2 linked regions of the Pelodiscus sinensis genome follow. The protein of the gene in region 2 interacts with the protein of the main gene of each other region in a biochemical or structural test. Links are inferred from orthologs where the notes say so. Each region holds a gene or a part of one and is shown on either strand. Other genes may lie near its edges.

Region 1 (7,622 bases), on a different chromosome or scaffold from region 2:
AAACTGATCCCTGAGGAACTCCGCTAGTAACCTTCCTCCAACCTGACAGTTCACCTTTCAGTATGACCCGCTGTGGTCTCCCCTTTAACCAGTTGCTTATCCACCTCTCAACTTTCATATTAATCCCTATCTTTTCCAATTTAACCAATAATTCCCCATGTGGTTCTGTATCAAATGCCTTACTAAAGTCAAGGTAGATCAGATCCACCGCATTTCCTTTATCTAAAAAATCTGTTACTTTCTCAAAAAAGGAGATCAGGTTGGTTTGGCACAATCTACCTTTTGTAAAACCATGTTGTAATTTGTCCCAATCGCCATTAGCCTCCATGTCTCTAACTACTTTCTCCTTCAAAATTTTTTCCAAGATCTTGCATACTGCAGATGTCAAACTAACAGGCCTATAGTTACCCGGGTCGCTTTTTTTCCCTTTCTTAAAAATCGGAACTATATTAGCAATTCTCCAGTCAAATGGTACAACCCCTGAGTCTAGAGATTTATTAAAAAAATTTGCTAATGGACTTGCAATTTCATGTGCCAGTTCCTTTAATATTCTTGGATGAAGATTATCTGGGCCCCCTGATTTACTCTCATTAAGCTGTTCAAGTTTGGCTTTTACCTCAGATATGGTAATATCTACCTCCTTATCCTCAGTCCCATTTGTTAACTTACCATTATCCCTAAGCTCTTCATTAGCCTCATTAAAGACTGAAGCAAAGTATTTGTTTAGCTATTGGGCCATTCCTAGATTATCCTTAACCTCCACTCCAGCCTTAGTAATTAATGGTCCTACTTCTTTTTTTGTTTTTTTCCTATTTATATGGCTATAAAACCTTTTGCTATTGGTTTTAATTCCCTTTGCAAGGTCCCCCCCCCCCGTCCCTTCCGCACAAGCGAGCCTGCAGAGGGAAGGCGGCTGAGCTCTCCGTGAGGCCGCGGGGCAGGCCTCCTGCTACTTCCCAGCACACGAGCCCAAGGCAGCGCCGCCCAGAGAGGGGTTTTTATGGACAAAGCCAAGAGACGTGATAAAGGCGCCACCCTGCCCGCCGCTCAATCGACACTTTCCCGTCTGCTCACAGAGCCGCACTGCGCGGTCCAGGCCTCCCCCTACCCCGTATCCCCCGCGGGCCTGGGACTTCTGCCTGTTCAATTCATCGGTCCCCCCGTCCCGGGCCTAAGAACCCAACGAAAACAGCCGGCAGGGTTCTCTCCAATGTACCTGTTTCCATGGGCTCCTCTGGCTCCCTGCCGACACCTCCACCTGCCTGAGATTAACTCTTTAGTCACCGCGTGGCTGGCGCCCCTACGCATCACTGAGTTCCGGGGCGTTACGGCCGAGGGAGCGGAGCGGCCACCGTGTGAGTCAAGAGCAGGAACATTCCCTGATCTCCCCCCCACCCGCCCGGCACGGTTTGATGCATCTCGGGGGGGAGGGGATCACTAGGATGCTGCGGAGCCGCCTCAGGCAGGTGACACTGGGAAGCAGCGGCTGGAGCCGTTCCTCCCCACAGCCACGGTGCGGTGTTGCAAACCCCCTTGTGCAAGTGACACAGGAAACCCATTTCAAGTGACGCGGAGCCCGTTCCAGCTGCAACTCCCCTTAGGCAGAGAGCAGGCCCCTCCCAGGCCCAGCTCCGAGGGCCGTTCGTCACAGCTGGGCCTCGCGCTGGCTCTCTGCACGGGGCGGAATCCACACGCCGCGTGGAATCAACAGCGCCAGGCCCAGGAAAGCTGGCCTGGGCACAGGCTGCCTGCAAAGCAGGTACAACCCCCCAACCCCAAGTCAGAGCAATGAGAAGATGAAGCCCCCCGGCATGGGCACTGGGACAGCTCTGCCCCCCCCCCCCAGGTTCAAACCAACAGGAAATGCTTCTCCATGCAGCACACAGCCGACCTGTGGAACTCCCTGCTAGGGGACGCGGTGAAGGCTAAAAGTATAACAGCTCCAAACAGAGCTAGTTATTGGTGGCTGGGCCCATCAATAGCTCTTAGCCAAGATGGTCAGGGATGCAGCCCCTGCTCCGGGGGTCCCTGGCGTCTGATTGCCAGGGGATGGGTCACTTGATAATCACCGTTTGAAGCACCTGGCTTTGGCCACGGTCAGAGGTCAGGACACGGGGCCTCAGGGACTGTTATCTGACCCGGCTCAGCGGCACCTACCAGCAGCCCCGGGGTGCAGCAGCTCCGATACTGGATTACAGTCGGGTCAGCAGCGCTGTAATCCCAGATCTTCCACTGTCTGCCTGCGCGCCCTTCAGCCAAGTCACTTCCAGTGCGGCGCCTCGGTTTCCCCTCCCACCCTAAGGCTCTTTAGCCTGGGCGGCACTGCAGGGACCTGCTCTCAGGTGAGGCTTGGGGGCGCTTACCCCTCAGACCACGTCTTGCTGGCAGTTACCCCGTGCCACCCGCGCTGCACTTGAACAGCTGCTGTGAGGAACAGTCCCGCCTGTCCTGTGGATCCTCCCCAGTCCCCTGGGAAAAGCCACAAGCCTCCTCAAACACACTGCCGACTCCGCCCCCTCCCGAGACTCAGGTCAGCTGCGAAATGAGCTGGTGTGCGGGCAGCTCCTGTCTTCTGCAGCTCAGAAACCCGACTGCTCACCTGTGTGTCAGGGGCCTGACACTGCCCACAGCTGATGGGGAGTCTCCTGCTGCCAAAAGAGCAGAGGCCTGGGCTTCTGGGGCTGGATTCTAGCCCTGCTGATGCCCTGACGCCCCGAGGCTCCAACTCACCCCAGTATTTAGGGTCCCAACTCCCACTGTGATTCATAGACCCCTAGGACTGGAAGGGCCCTCGCGAGGTCGTCCAGTCCAGTCCCGGCCCTCTCGGCAGGACCCAGCACCGGCTACATCAGGGCAACTCAACTTCGGACGCTCACAGCACATGCCGAGGGCCGCAACTTACATGTGGTGGCATTTACATGCAAATATCTATGCAAATATATGCAAACAGCTTCTTTCACACTGACGGGCAGAATACAAAGCTGAAGGCAAGACTACACAACACGCAGGCCCCGTGTAAGGCAGCTCTGCTGACACTAACACACTGCCACATTGACCCCATTTCCACCCGCGTGACTGCACTCTGCATGGGCAATGGCAGGCCAGGAATTTAACTACTAAGGCTCATCTCGGCAGAAGCCCGTTCTATGGACTCACCGCTGTGCAGCGTGTTCCCAGTGGGCGCCGTGTTCAAAGGATCCCTCCCGCGGGCCACGTGTTGAGCCTGCGTGAACCCAAACCGCCCCGCGGCCGCAAACCAACGAGCCGCAGGCCACCCATGGCCGCGTGTTAAATAGCCTGGTCTAGGCCCTGGCAGGCATGTGTCCCGCCCGCTCTGAAGTATCTCCAACTGGGAGTCTTACCCGGCGTGCTCAGGTCCTTCAGGGCAGGGGGCTGGGGGGGGGGTGCAGGAGTCAGGGTTGGGGCTCAGGGCAGAGGGCTGGAGATGTGGGGAGGTGGAGTGGGAGGAGCAGTGGGTGAGGAGGGGCTCAGGGCATGAGGTGGGATGCAGGCGTTGGGGCAGATCAGGAGAAGGGGGACTTGGAGGGGGTAGAGACTTGGAGGGGGGCTAAGGGCGGGGGGGGGGGGGTTCCGGCTTCTCCTGGGGGCTGATCCAGTGCTTCCCGCCCACTGGCTTCTCCCCAGGCCATGCAGGCTGCTCGGTGGCAGGGAGGTGCATGGCCTGCGGCCAAGGGGGCCGTCCCAAGATCCTGGCCCACCCAAACCTCACCTTGCTATAGGTCCGGACACGAGGAAGCTGCCTCCCCGCTGTGGCAGCCCTGGCTGTGATCTTCGGGACGGGGCACTTCGAAACGATCCCGAAGACGAAGATGATGGAGATTCCAAACCCCCCTCCCCTCGGCAACTTACTCCAGGTTCCCCCCCCAGGCAGGACGCTTGCCCTGATGTCCAACCCGACTCCCCTGCGGCCGCCTCTGCCCAGTGCTGCTCGGCCAGTGCCACGGAGCCTCGTGTCCAGTACGCGGTTACTGGCCCTGGCCTGGCTCAGCCTTCGCGTGCCCTGGGCGTAGGAGCCGAGGGGCCAGCGTCTGCGGGCTGGTTACGGTGCCAGGTGGGGAAACAGAGGCACATTCCCGGGCAGCAGCTTAGCACCCCCCCCCCCCCCCCCGCCTCGGCCGGGGAAGCGGAACTTGGAGCAGAGACAAGAGGGGAAGGGGGGGGCAGGGGGGGAGAGAAGCTAAAAGAAAAGGAGGAAAAGAAACGGGGGGGGCGCAGCCAATGTGGGGCTTGGGGGGGGGTCCCAGCCAGCGCGGGGCGCTCTCAGCCGGTGGGGGTTTTGGGGGGGTCCCAGCCAGCGCGGGGCTCGGGGGGGGTCCCAGCCAACGCGGGGCTCGAGGGGGGGTCCCAGCCAGCGCGGGGCTCGGGGGGGGTCCCAGCCAACGCGGGGCTGTGGGGGAGGGGTCCCAGCCAACGCGGGGCTGTGGGGGAGGGGTCCCAGCCAACGCGGGGCGCTGGGGGGGGGGTCCCAGCCAACACGGGGCTCTGGGGGGGTCCCAGCCAGCGCGGGGCTCTGGGGGGGGGTCCCAGCCAGCGCGGGGCGCTGGGGGGGGGGCAGCCGGGGGCACATTCCTGGGTGGGGCTCGCAGGCCGGCGAGTCCGGATCCGCTCCGAGCCTCCGCCCAGCCGGGGAAGGGGCCGGGCCAGGCAGCCAAGGGCGGTGGCGGGGCCGGGCGGGGCTCAGAGCGCCCCGAAGTCTGAGCCGCGCACGGTCCGCTCCCTCCCTGCAGCCATGGTGAGTGGGGGGGGCCCTCCCCCCTTTCCCGGGGGGCGATAAACTCTCCCTGGGAAGGGCGGGGGGAGGCAGGAGCCCCCCCCCCCGGAGCTTGGCTTGGCAGTTGCCCAGGAGCTGTCGGGGGGGGGGGGGGGGGGGGGCTGAGAGCTGCCGACCCAAACTGCAAACCCCGGGTACGATGGAAACCGCCTCAAACCAGGGTGCAGCCCCCCCCCCCCCCCGGTACCAGCACCCCAGGGCGGGGCCGGTCACAGGCTGCAGCAGGGCCCCAGGCTGCTCGGGGCAGGAGTTGTTGGTCCCTGGCCAGGCTGTGACCCCCCCCCCCCAGCGCAGGGTGTGTCCGCTCCCCCCCCCCCACCACCGCCAGCGCAGGGTGTGTCCGCTCCCCCCCCCAGCCCCAGCAGGGCGGCTCCGCTCCCCCCCCCCCCCAGCCCCAGCGCAGGGTGGTTTCCCAGGGGCCAGACCCCACCCTCCATTCAGGACTCAGCCCCCCCCCCCCCCCGTCCTGGGCAGAGGCGCCCCCCACCCCAGGAGGCCCCAGCTGCGGGTTTGCACCCTGGGCTGCCAGGCACTGAGGGGCGGGGGAGCTGGGCCAGGCTGGGGGGGGGGGGCTGGTTTCCTGTCTCATACCACCAAAAAAGGCTAAATTCAGCTGCTGGGGGGGGGGGGGGGCTAAAGAGTCCCGGGGGGGGCAGAGACTCCAGGCCAGAGAGGGGCAGAGCCCCCCCCCCCCTTCCTCCCACAGCTCAGTCACTGCTCAGAGCTTGCCTGGCACTGAGTCATTCAGGCCCAGCTGCCCTTTGGCGCGTCCCCCCATCACTCCGCCCTGGCTCGGGGGAAGGAGGCTGGAGGGGGCTCTCCCCCCTGCTCACAAGCAGAGCCCCGGGTGGGGGCCTGGGCGCTGCTCTGCCTTCCCGCCTCCTTGGACGTGTGCCAGCCAGCCCTGCTCCGGGGGGCCTAGCCAGGACCTCGAGGGGTGCACGTTGCCCAGGCCGGTCAAGCCTGGTCTCCCTTTCCCCTGCCCCAGTCCTGTGTACCCACCGCTGCCACCATCACCAGAGTCTGACTGGAACTGGTGGCTTAGAGGGAAGAGCCTCTGGCTGCTATTTTCTGGTGCCCTGAGCTAGCTAGGCCCCCTGCCCTGGGGCTGGATTGGCACCCCCTGCCGGTGAACCCCCTCTATCCCATTCCCCATGCGCTCCTCAGCCGCCCGGCCCAGCACCCCCTCCAGAGGCAAGGCCCCGTATCCCAGTAGAACCAGCATCTCGTAGAGGAAAAGCTACGTAGGCCATTCGCTGCTCCCCAGAACCAGGCGGCCTTTCTCCGCCCTGGGCCGAGGGAGGAAGCGGTGCCCCCCGGGGAAAGGCCTCACCCCCTTGGGGCCAGCAGGCCTGCATTTCACCCTGTGGCTGTCCTGACACAGCTAGCCCCTGGCCACGTGGCTTGGAGCAGCCCCACCCCAGTCCCATTTCTCTTCACTCCGAATTTCTCCCAACAAATGGGGGGTGGGGGGGAGAGGAGGGTGTTTTTCTTTCCCGCCCCTGCCTGTGATTGGCAGCCAAAACCAATTCATATTAATGAGGAGGGTGGAAAAGCCAGGCACCTTTGTTCCGGAGTCTCTTTCACAACCTCAGTGCAGACGCACCCCCTGCCCTGCCAGGCCCCATGGCCCGTTGCTGAGCCTCTGCCACCCTCGCGTCACCTCTCCTTGCCCTGGCCTCTTTCCGCCACTGCGCTCACTGGGCTGGCAGCTGCGGCTTCGCTGTGGTCTGGCTCGCAGCGCCCGGGGGGGGGGGGGGGCAGGAAGAGCGTGGGAGCGGGTGCAGAGGAGGGATTGCACCAGGCCTGGGGAAACCAGAAAGCTGCATGGGGCTGGCGTAGGAGCGCCTGAGCAACGGCACCTTGCGGTCAGGCCCCGCCCGCCGGGCCCAGGAATAGACTCGTCCAGCAGCCGCTCCCGTCTCCCTGCTCCACCCAGCTCCCCTGCCGAAGCTCAGGAAAGCAGCCAGGAGTCTGGACCCCCCGGGGCCTGCTGCAACCACTAGGCCCTGCGTCCAGAAGCGGGATCAGAGCCCAGGCAGCCTGGTGCTGTCCCTGACTTATCCGGCAGCCTGGTGCTGTCCCTGACTTACCCGGCAGCCTCTCCCTTCCTTTCAGTGCTCAGGTGAAAGGCTCAGCTGGAGCTGGGAGCAGTGTTCCCTGTAAGCTGGGCGCTTGGGCAGCCACCGGGAGGGCTGATTGGCAGAGCACCCCCCGCAGGCAGCATGGGTTTCCCCGGCTGGTGCGCGTGCCTCAGTGCATGTAACAAAACGTACTGGGCCCATGGATGGAAAACAGGCGACACCGGCCAGGCGGGCTCAGGGGAGCTGGTGACCCCCGGGTTTGGCGCTGGGGGAGGAGCGGGCTCAGGGGAGCTGGTGGCCCCCGGGTTTGGCGCTGGGGGAGGAGCGGGCTCAGGGGAGCTGGTGGCCCCCGGGTTTGGCGCTGGGGGAGGAGCGGGCTCAGGGGAGCTGGTGGCCCCCGGGTTTGGCGCTGGGGGAGGAGCGGGCTCAGCCGCACGGTGCTTCCACCCCTGCAGGCGAAGGTCCCCATGTCCCCGACGGAAACGGAGCGCTGTATCGAGTCCCTGCTGGCCGTGTTCCAGCGCTACGCCGGGCGCGAAGGCGACAGCTGCACGCTGTCCAAGCGGGAGTTCCTCACCTTCATGAACGCCGAACTGGCTTCCTTCACAAAGGTGAGCCTGGGGACGCCCAGCCCGCGGGGGGACTGCAGCTTCTGCCAACACGGCTGCTCTGCTGAGTAGCTGGCTGGGAGCGGGGCAGGGAGCAGAGGGAGTGCGGGGGGGGGGGGGGGTGAAGTGCTTTCGGAG
Region 2 (6,964 bases):
ATGGCCTATCACCTTTTGTTTCTATGTACCGAAAGTACTGAAATCAAAACAGTTGTCATTTTCTGGGTTTCTCCCTCTGTAGCTGTTTGGAGTTATGCTTCCCCTACTCCCCCCCTACTCCTGGTGGGTGGAGTTCTCTGACTCATGGTCTTCCTGAAATTGGAGTAGTGAGTCACTAGCACAGAGCTGTACTGTACAGTACAATCAATACAGCCATGAAAAAAATGCAGTCATTTGACTTAGATTACTTGATGATTTTATCCTCACTCTTTTCTAGAATGAAGATATTGTTACATGTTCAAAGGCTCATTTTCTAGGATTGTTTGATAAGTAGCAATATACAGCATGAGGCATTACTGTCATAGTACAAGTTATAGAGGAAAAACACAAATGTTTTCCCTCTCTTGTAATCGTTATCCTTCTAGAATACACACACTACAATCACTGATGACAATGTCATATACAAAATACATAACATACAAAATTACTACACACATTGGCATTTAAGCTGGTGCTAAGTGATTATGATACTGTGGATTCAATTCCCCTTCCCCCTCCCTCAGATATGGGACTCCTGGAAGCAGAGCTATAGGGGAAGAGTGAAATTTCCTCAAGCCTTTGTGCCTCCAGAGTGCAGATGAAAGCAGAATGGTTCACAAAAGCTCAAGAGTGTTCAGCAGCAGACTTCTTTTATTTCTGCTTCAGAAATGAGCTGTTCTGTTCCCTGTAGTGTATGCTGCTGCTGCTGAAAGTTGGTGTATATACTGGGAAGAGATTCACTGACATCTCCACCTATGGGTCCTGCCATAAAGGATTAGCAGAATTTACTTCTAAGGATGGGCCATTTTTGTATTCTGATACCAACGAGTAGCTACTGGTACAATGTTTGTTTGAGCTCTTTTGGGGAGAGACTCTACTGCAGCTATCCTAAGGGGGTCTCCAATCATGACTGAGACTGCTGGGTCCTACTGCCATTTACATTTACTCCAATTCATCTGATGAAGTGGGCTTTACCCATGAAAGCTCGTGTTTCTATACGTTTTTGTTAGTCTCTAAAGGGGGCATCTAAACAAGCACAGTTATTACAAAATAACTGACACTTTCAAAATAACAGTGCAAGCGTCTACACAGCAATTCCGTTATTTTGAAATAACAGATGGCTTATTCCGATTTCTGTAAACCCCATTTCATGAGGAATAATGCCTATTTTGAGAGAGCTATTTTGGAATAGCTGTAGTGTGGATGCTCCACTGCTGCTATTTTGAAATAGCTCCTTCCCAGAGACATTCAAAGTAATTACTTCCTACTGCCTCCTGAGGGTTTAAATCAAGGTAGTAAGTCCACATTAGGGAAGCCTGCCTTGGATTAATTTTGAGGTTTCCCTGTAGTGTAGACGCGCTATTTTGAAATGAGCTATTTTGGAGTATTTCCAAAATAGCTGATGTATCCTAAGGTACTACTCATTGTTTTTAGAGTTTTGTCTATAGTTATAATACTGACATAAATAGCTCAGGATATTGGAAGCCTCAGAGATAGTGGCAAAAAATTTCCAAGTGGAAATGTGTCTGCCTCCATTGCTGTAATAAGTAGAGGGTGTCTCATAAGCTGCATGATAACTTGAGAGACCCATGCTGAAACCAGAGAGTTGGGATTCCATCTCATTTTTGTACCTCGAGTGACCCATAGTGTGTGTGATTCCTCTATGGGTGATCACAGTTTCTTTCCTTCTTTTGAGACTGAAAAACACTTTTTCACTAGTTCTGAAATCTTGCTCTCCTGGCTTTACAGTAACATGATGAAATAGGGGAGTGGAAAAACTGACTGAACCAGTCAGTGAATTTTAGGTTAGGAAAGATGTTTGCTACAAAACACTCATGCTGCTTTGTGTCTTGAGACATTTAAAAATATGAAGAACAGAACTTCGGAAAGTCAAAATGGGTTAGTCATTCACTGGCAAAAGAAAGATCTATCGTATTTTCAATGACTATGAATCTTAGATGCCTTTGCCCTACATCACAGTATAAACTTTTGTTTTAGCAGATTTATCCCTGTTGACTTATTCAGAATAATCTTTGTTCCATTCCTTCACCAACCCTATTCTGATCTTTCTTGCTTCCTCTAGTACCAAAGCAAATGATGCCTCAATAGATCTCATTCTAGGGATGTCAACCTGTAGTTGACTACACCATTAATTGATAAGCTTGGGCTTAAAGCATTCTCTTCCCTCCCCTTGTTTCCTCTGTATAGAGGCAGCAGAGTGGAGTGGTAGGGGGCTCCCCGGGAATGAGGCTGGGAGTGCACTGGCTGTCGGCCCCATGACTGGGGACTACTGAATAATTGTGTAACTGCTAAAGTTTTGATGTGGTTACACAATTATTCAACTAATTGATATCTAACATCCCTATCTCAGTCAGAAGAAAACTGCCCTTCATTCTCACCAACAGCCTGTATTCTTACATCTCATATGCACAAGGTATTATGGGTGCAGATCCCAGATTGAAATGAGAACACAACCTCATTTTATTAATTGTTTATTAACTTTTCTCCTCTGATGTTTAATGCCTCCAATTTGGATGGAAGGCAGAAAGAAAGAAGAGGGCTCATCTGCACTTTCCATATTAGCTTTTCTAGCTGGCTTTAAATGTAAATTTAATTGCAGCATGTCTCAGATACCTGACCTGTTTGCCTCATTTGAGATGTGAGGCATATCTTCTGATATGCAAATTGTAGATTTGATTGCATGTCACACTTCATCATATATGTCTTTAAGGAACATTTCAAACTGAATCACACTGTATGTATTCTTGCATTGCACAAAGTATATGTCTTAGGTCTTTCTTGAGTGACTTGCTATTATATAATATTTTGCTAGCACCTTATAAAAACTTTGAATTTCTGGGCTTTCTTGGGAAAAAATCCCTTACTAAAGATGGACCCCAAAACAGAACACACATAAATCTGAAAGCTCGCAAACTGTAGCAAGTCTGTGAGAGGAATTTGAAGTAAAAATCCAAACTTGTATATGAACTTCAATAGCATTATATTTGTTTAATGTATTTGTATTGCAGTAGAGTGTCAGTACTGTACATCATGGACTAAGACTCCCTATGCAAGCATAGGAAAAAAAACCAGTTCCTGCCTCCAAAGTGCTTATAAGTAAACATAAAACAAGAGGGTACAGATAGACAGGGGGAGAATAACATGATGAGGTACTACTGGTCAGCAAAATAGGCAGTGGTTCCTCTGTCTGGAATCAAATCTCTCACCATTTGAATTGCAAATCTCAGTTCTAGGGGAATTCCAGATTTAACAATTGCAGAATTCCTTCAGGACTGAAAGCTAAATCTGAATGTTGCAGGGCAGGCCCACTTGTATATTTAAGTGGCACATCTATTAAACCTGCCTATTTTCACATCTTGGTTCTCTGCAATGATCATGGCCCGTCTCCTTTTCTTTGCCCAATCTTGTGTGAGATGAAAAAAAAAAATTATCCATGGGTATTGGCCGATTTCTGCTCCAAGATCAACCCCAGTGAGAGCAAGGTCATTGACCACCAATTTGCACTGAAGACATAGGGTGTTCTTTTCTGGTCTCGGCCTCCCTGCAGCACTAAAGTGCTGCTGCTTTCTGTCTTGATTTTTTTTTAAATGTACAATGAGATGAGTCAAAAAATGAAAGGGCTAAGATTTTATTCAGCATTGAGCTTTATTTATCTCACACTGCTTTAAAATGTATTCACTTGAACAAACCTATGCCAATTTACATCAGCAGAGGATGTAAGTCCAGATAGGTTTAAAAAAAAGTCCGAAAACATTTCTTTCTTTCTTTCACACTGAAATCTGCCCTTAGTTAACTCCAGTGAATAATTTTGCAAGGCATTTGTGTGTGTGTGTGTGTGTGCCTGTGCTTTTGGATAGAACCCACATTTAGTCCTCAGGCAAATATGAGCCAATCACTTGAGTTGTAGAAATATTCTGTGGTTGCTAGGTGTGGTCACCCAACGGCTTTATAAAAATCACCAGCCTTAGGCTTTCCTGTTCCAGGCTGCAGCTTCCAGAGAAGTAACACTTTCTGAGCTGTGTGAAACAAAAGGTATGCACTTTTTTGTTCTTTGTGGGTCTCTGTTGATTTAGCAAACTTTAATAAATATGCACTACTTACCAAGTGATTTTGTGCAGCTGTCTGTTGATTGTGTTGATTGGCACAGGCAGAGATGGGTGTGGTCATCTCTTCCTTTTTAAATTATTGCATTTACATTCTGGGGTTGGAACTGTCCCTGTTCTTCTTTGCTTGAAGTGCACAAGAAATCTTGAGGAAATACTAAGGATTGGAGAGCTAATTTACTTGGAATTAGCTAGTTTCTGTTTTTTAATGGCTGCTCTGGAAAGCTATTTTTACAGCAAAACTATGAGTAACAGGAAACTAACATACCTTATATGGAAATGATTTGTGAAAGCTGCTTTTACTTTGACAATAATTGCTTAAAAACAGTATTCATTGCTTCACAGACTTCAGCTGTAAATGTAAGCCAGGGAAAAAAACTCCCAGTATTTTTAATGAGGTGGCTCTGAAAAAAATCCGTTTTTTAATTAAACACTGATGTAAGAGAAACTGCGTATGAGTAAGGGCTCCAGAATTTGGTTCTCGGTCAGCTCAGACTTTCCATTAATTTTTTACCCAAGGGTGAGGCTGTTTCTCTCAGTGCTGCCATTCTTTGTGTGTCCCTGAGGACAGGTTTTTCAAGTTTTTTTTTTTTTTGTATCCATCCAAGTGAAGAAATATTTCCTGGGTGTTAGCAAGAATGTACAAGAGGCATAGACAGAAGGCCCATCTAAAAACCTCTGGTGTCTACACTATGAAAACGTTTTGCTAATGGGGTTTAACAGTGTTATTAGACTTTCTTTCAAGGCCCTCTTAATGTGTCCACACCATCCCTCATACTAGCATTTCCTGGTGAGGCAAACCCCAATATGAAATGTGGTATGCAAAGGTTTGGCTTGATTCCAATTTCAGAATGGCATACATCACGATTAATCCCACTAAAGTCAATGGAGTTTAAAAAATAATGTAAGATCAAGTTAAATTTCTTGCTTTCCTTTCAAAGACAAAAATATAAAAGTATATATCTGCTGTTTAATATTACTAGTTTTGAATAGTGGGATACATTCTACCCATACTTCCGATACTCAGCCAACTAACTTTTCAAGGATTTATTAGAAGCAGGAAGAACTGTCTCTCTTCTGCTATGGTATTTGCAGCTAGGCCACTTTTTCTCCCTTGGTCATTTCTATATACAGTAGTGCCCAAGCCTGAGCTTTGGAGTGGAGGGAAGTTTAGGTGCCACCTTTTAGTAATCCTGGCAGGAGCCCAGCCAGCTTTCCTATTTCTCTTCATAGCAAATTGAAATCCTCTTTCTGCTTTTCCTCTCTTACCCACCTCTCCTAATACTAAACTTTGCTTCTCACTCTCAAGGGCACCCTCCTAGACCCCGGAGGTATCTTCCTGCACTCCTACAGTCTTTTATTATCTGTGATAGTAAACTATCATGTTGCTCCAGTCAACATACTTTGTTTAAACTTGGCTGATAAGAAATTTCATCAGGTAGGATTACTTATTTCTTAACTCTCTGAATCAACAGAACAAACCAAAGAGCAATCAGAGTAAGATATTTAACCCAGCCAGAGTGTTGTTTACCTTGTAGAATTGTCTTTAAAAACTCCAATAATAGGTTATTCGAATAAAATGGATGGATTTGTTTGCCAAAATGTCTGTGTGGAAAAGGGAAATGAGAAACAAGACTTTTCCTTGCACCAAGAGCTGCTTAACAAAGGAGGGAGGGACCATAAAGAATGACTTACAGCTACCTGAAACTCATGACGTGTCAACTCAGTCTGAATGTAAATTAGAGCAGCCTAGGAGTTTACAGAGCACAGCTATGCTCTACTTGGCTCCTCTTCACCTGCATCATAACCTCAAAACCTGTGTAGGTGTGTATATGATTGTTGTGAAGAGGGGAGTGGTTAGCATAGCTGCCATCACCCCCAACATTATGTTCACTACAGTATGAGATTCCAGGCCCTACGTGCCTCTCAAGAAGCAGTGTGTCAGGAAATTGGAAGGAGGATTCAGCTCAAAAACTTCTAACTGTAGTTAATGTTGTTTTTTAACTTGCTCGTGCAACTCAAGAGTGGTACTGCAAAAGTGGGTTTAAGTTACCTTTGCACTTTCTTGAACATGGGCTTGCAATGCAGAGGGCAGTCATCTGAGAAGCTGAGACAGCATCTGGGACCCACCAGCTACAACCCTTTACTACCCACACCCCCATATTTGAGCAGCAAGGATGGGGGGTGGCATAAGAGCCATGGCAGCCTCTCTATTTATTAGTGGTATTAGTCCTTAATATCAACATTACGATTGCTCTATTGCTTCTCAACTAGGGTGAGGGTTGCATAAATTTAAAAATCTTCAGGTAGAACTGAGGCCTGGGACCAATGTCTTTCAACCACACAGGGTCTTTATGGCTGAAAACTAAGTTTCCTTTGAGAGTATCCAATCAGGTATTTGGACATTGAAATAGGCCTATGTTTTTTTCACTGAACCAAAAGTGTGTGTGTGTGTGTGTGTGTGTGTGTGTGTGTGTGTGTGTGTGTTGCTTTCACCAACTGTAGAGTAGCCTTTTGCTTGTTCCATCACCCAAGACTCCTAGGCTACCTCTAGACTGGCATGATTTTCCGCAAATGCTTTTAACGGAAAAGTTTTTCCGTTAAAAGCATTTGCGTAAAAGAACGTCTAGATTGGCACGGACGCTTTTCCGCAAAAGCACTTTTGGTGGAAAAGCATCCTTGCCAATCTAGACGCGGTTTTGCACACGAAAGCCCCGATTGCCATTTTCACCATCGGGGCTTTTTTGCGCAAAACAGCTTTTAGCTGTCTACACTGGCCCTCTTGCGCACAAACATTTCTG

What was found.
Region 1: the proteins of ANXA1 (region 2) and protein S100-A11-like form a complex in vitro, tested with the Homo sapiens proteins (2 studies listed by BioGRID). The link is inferred for Pelodiscus sinensis from reciprocal best matches to the Homo sapiens genes ANXA1 and S100A11.

What each region holds. Positions count from the first base shown.
Region 1 is NC_134734.1:25,012,741-25,020,362, forward strand, and holds the start of protein S100-A11-like, read left to right. Parts: upstream 1-4,615; 5' UTR 4,616-4,750; coding exon 4,751-4,753; intron 4,754-7,331; coding exon 7,332-7,487; intron 7,488-7,622. UniProt on the Homo sapiens protein: Facilitates the differentiation and the cornification of keratinocytes.
Region 2 is NC_134716.1:34,503,143-34,510,106, forward strand, and holds the start of ANXA1 (annexin A1), read left to right. Parts: upstream 1-3,953; 5' UTR 3,954-4,092; intron 4,093-4,161; exon of another isoform or gene 4,162-4,393; intron 4,394-6,964. UniProt on the Homo sapiens protein: Plays important roles in the innate immune response as effector of glucocorticoid-mediated responses and regulator of the inflammatory process. Has anti-inflammatory activity.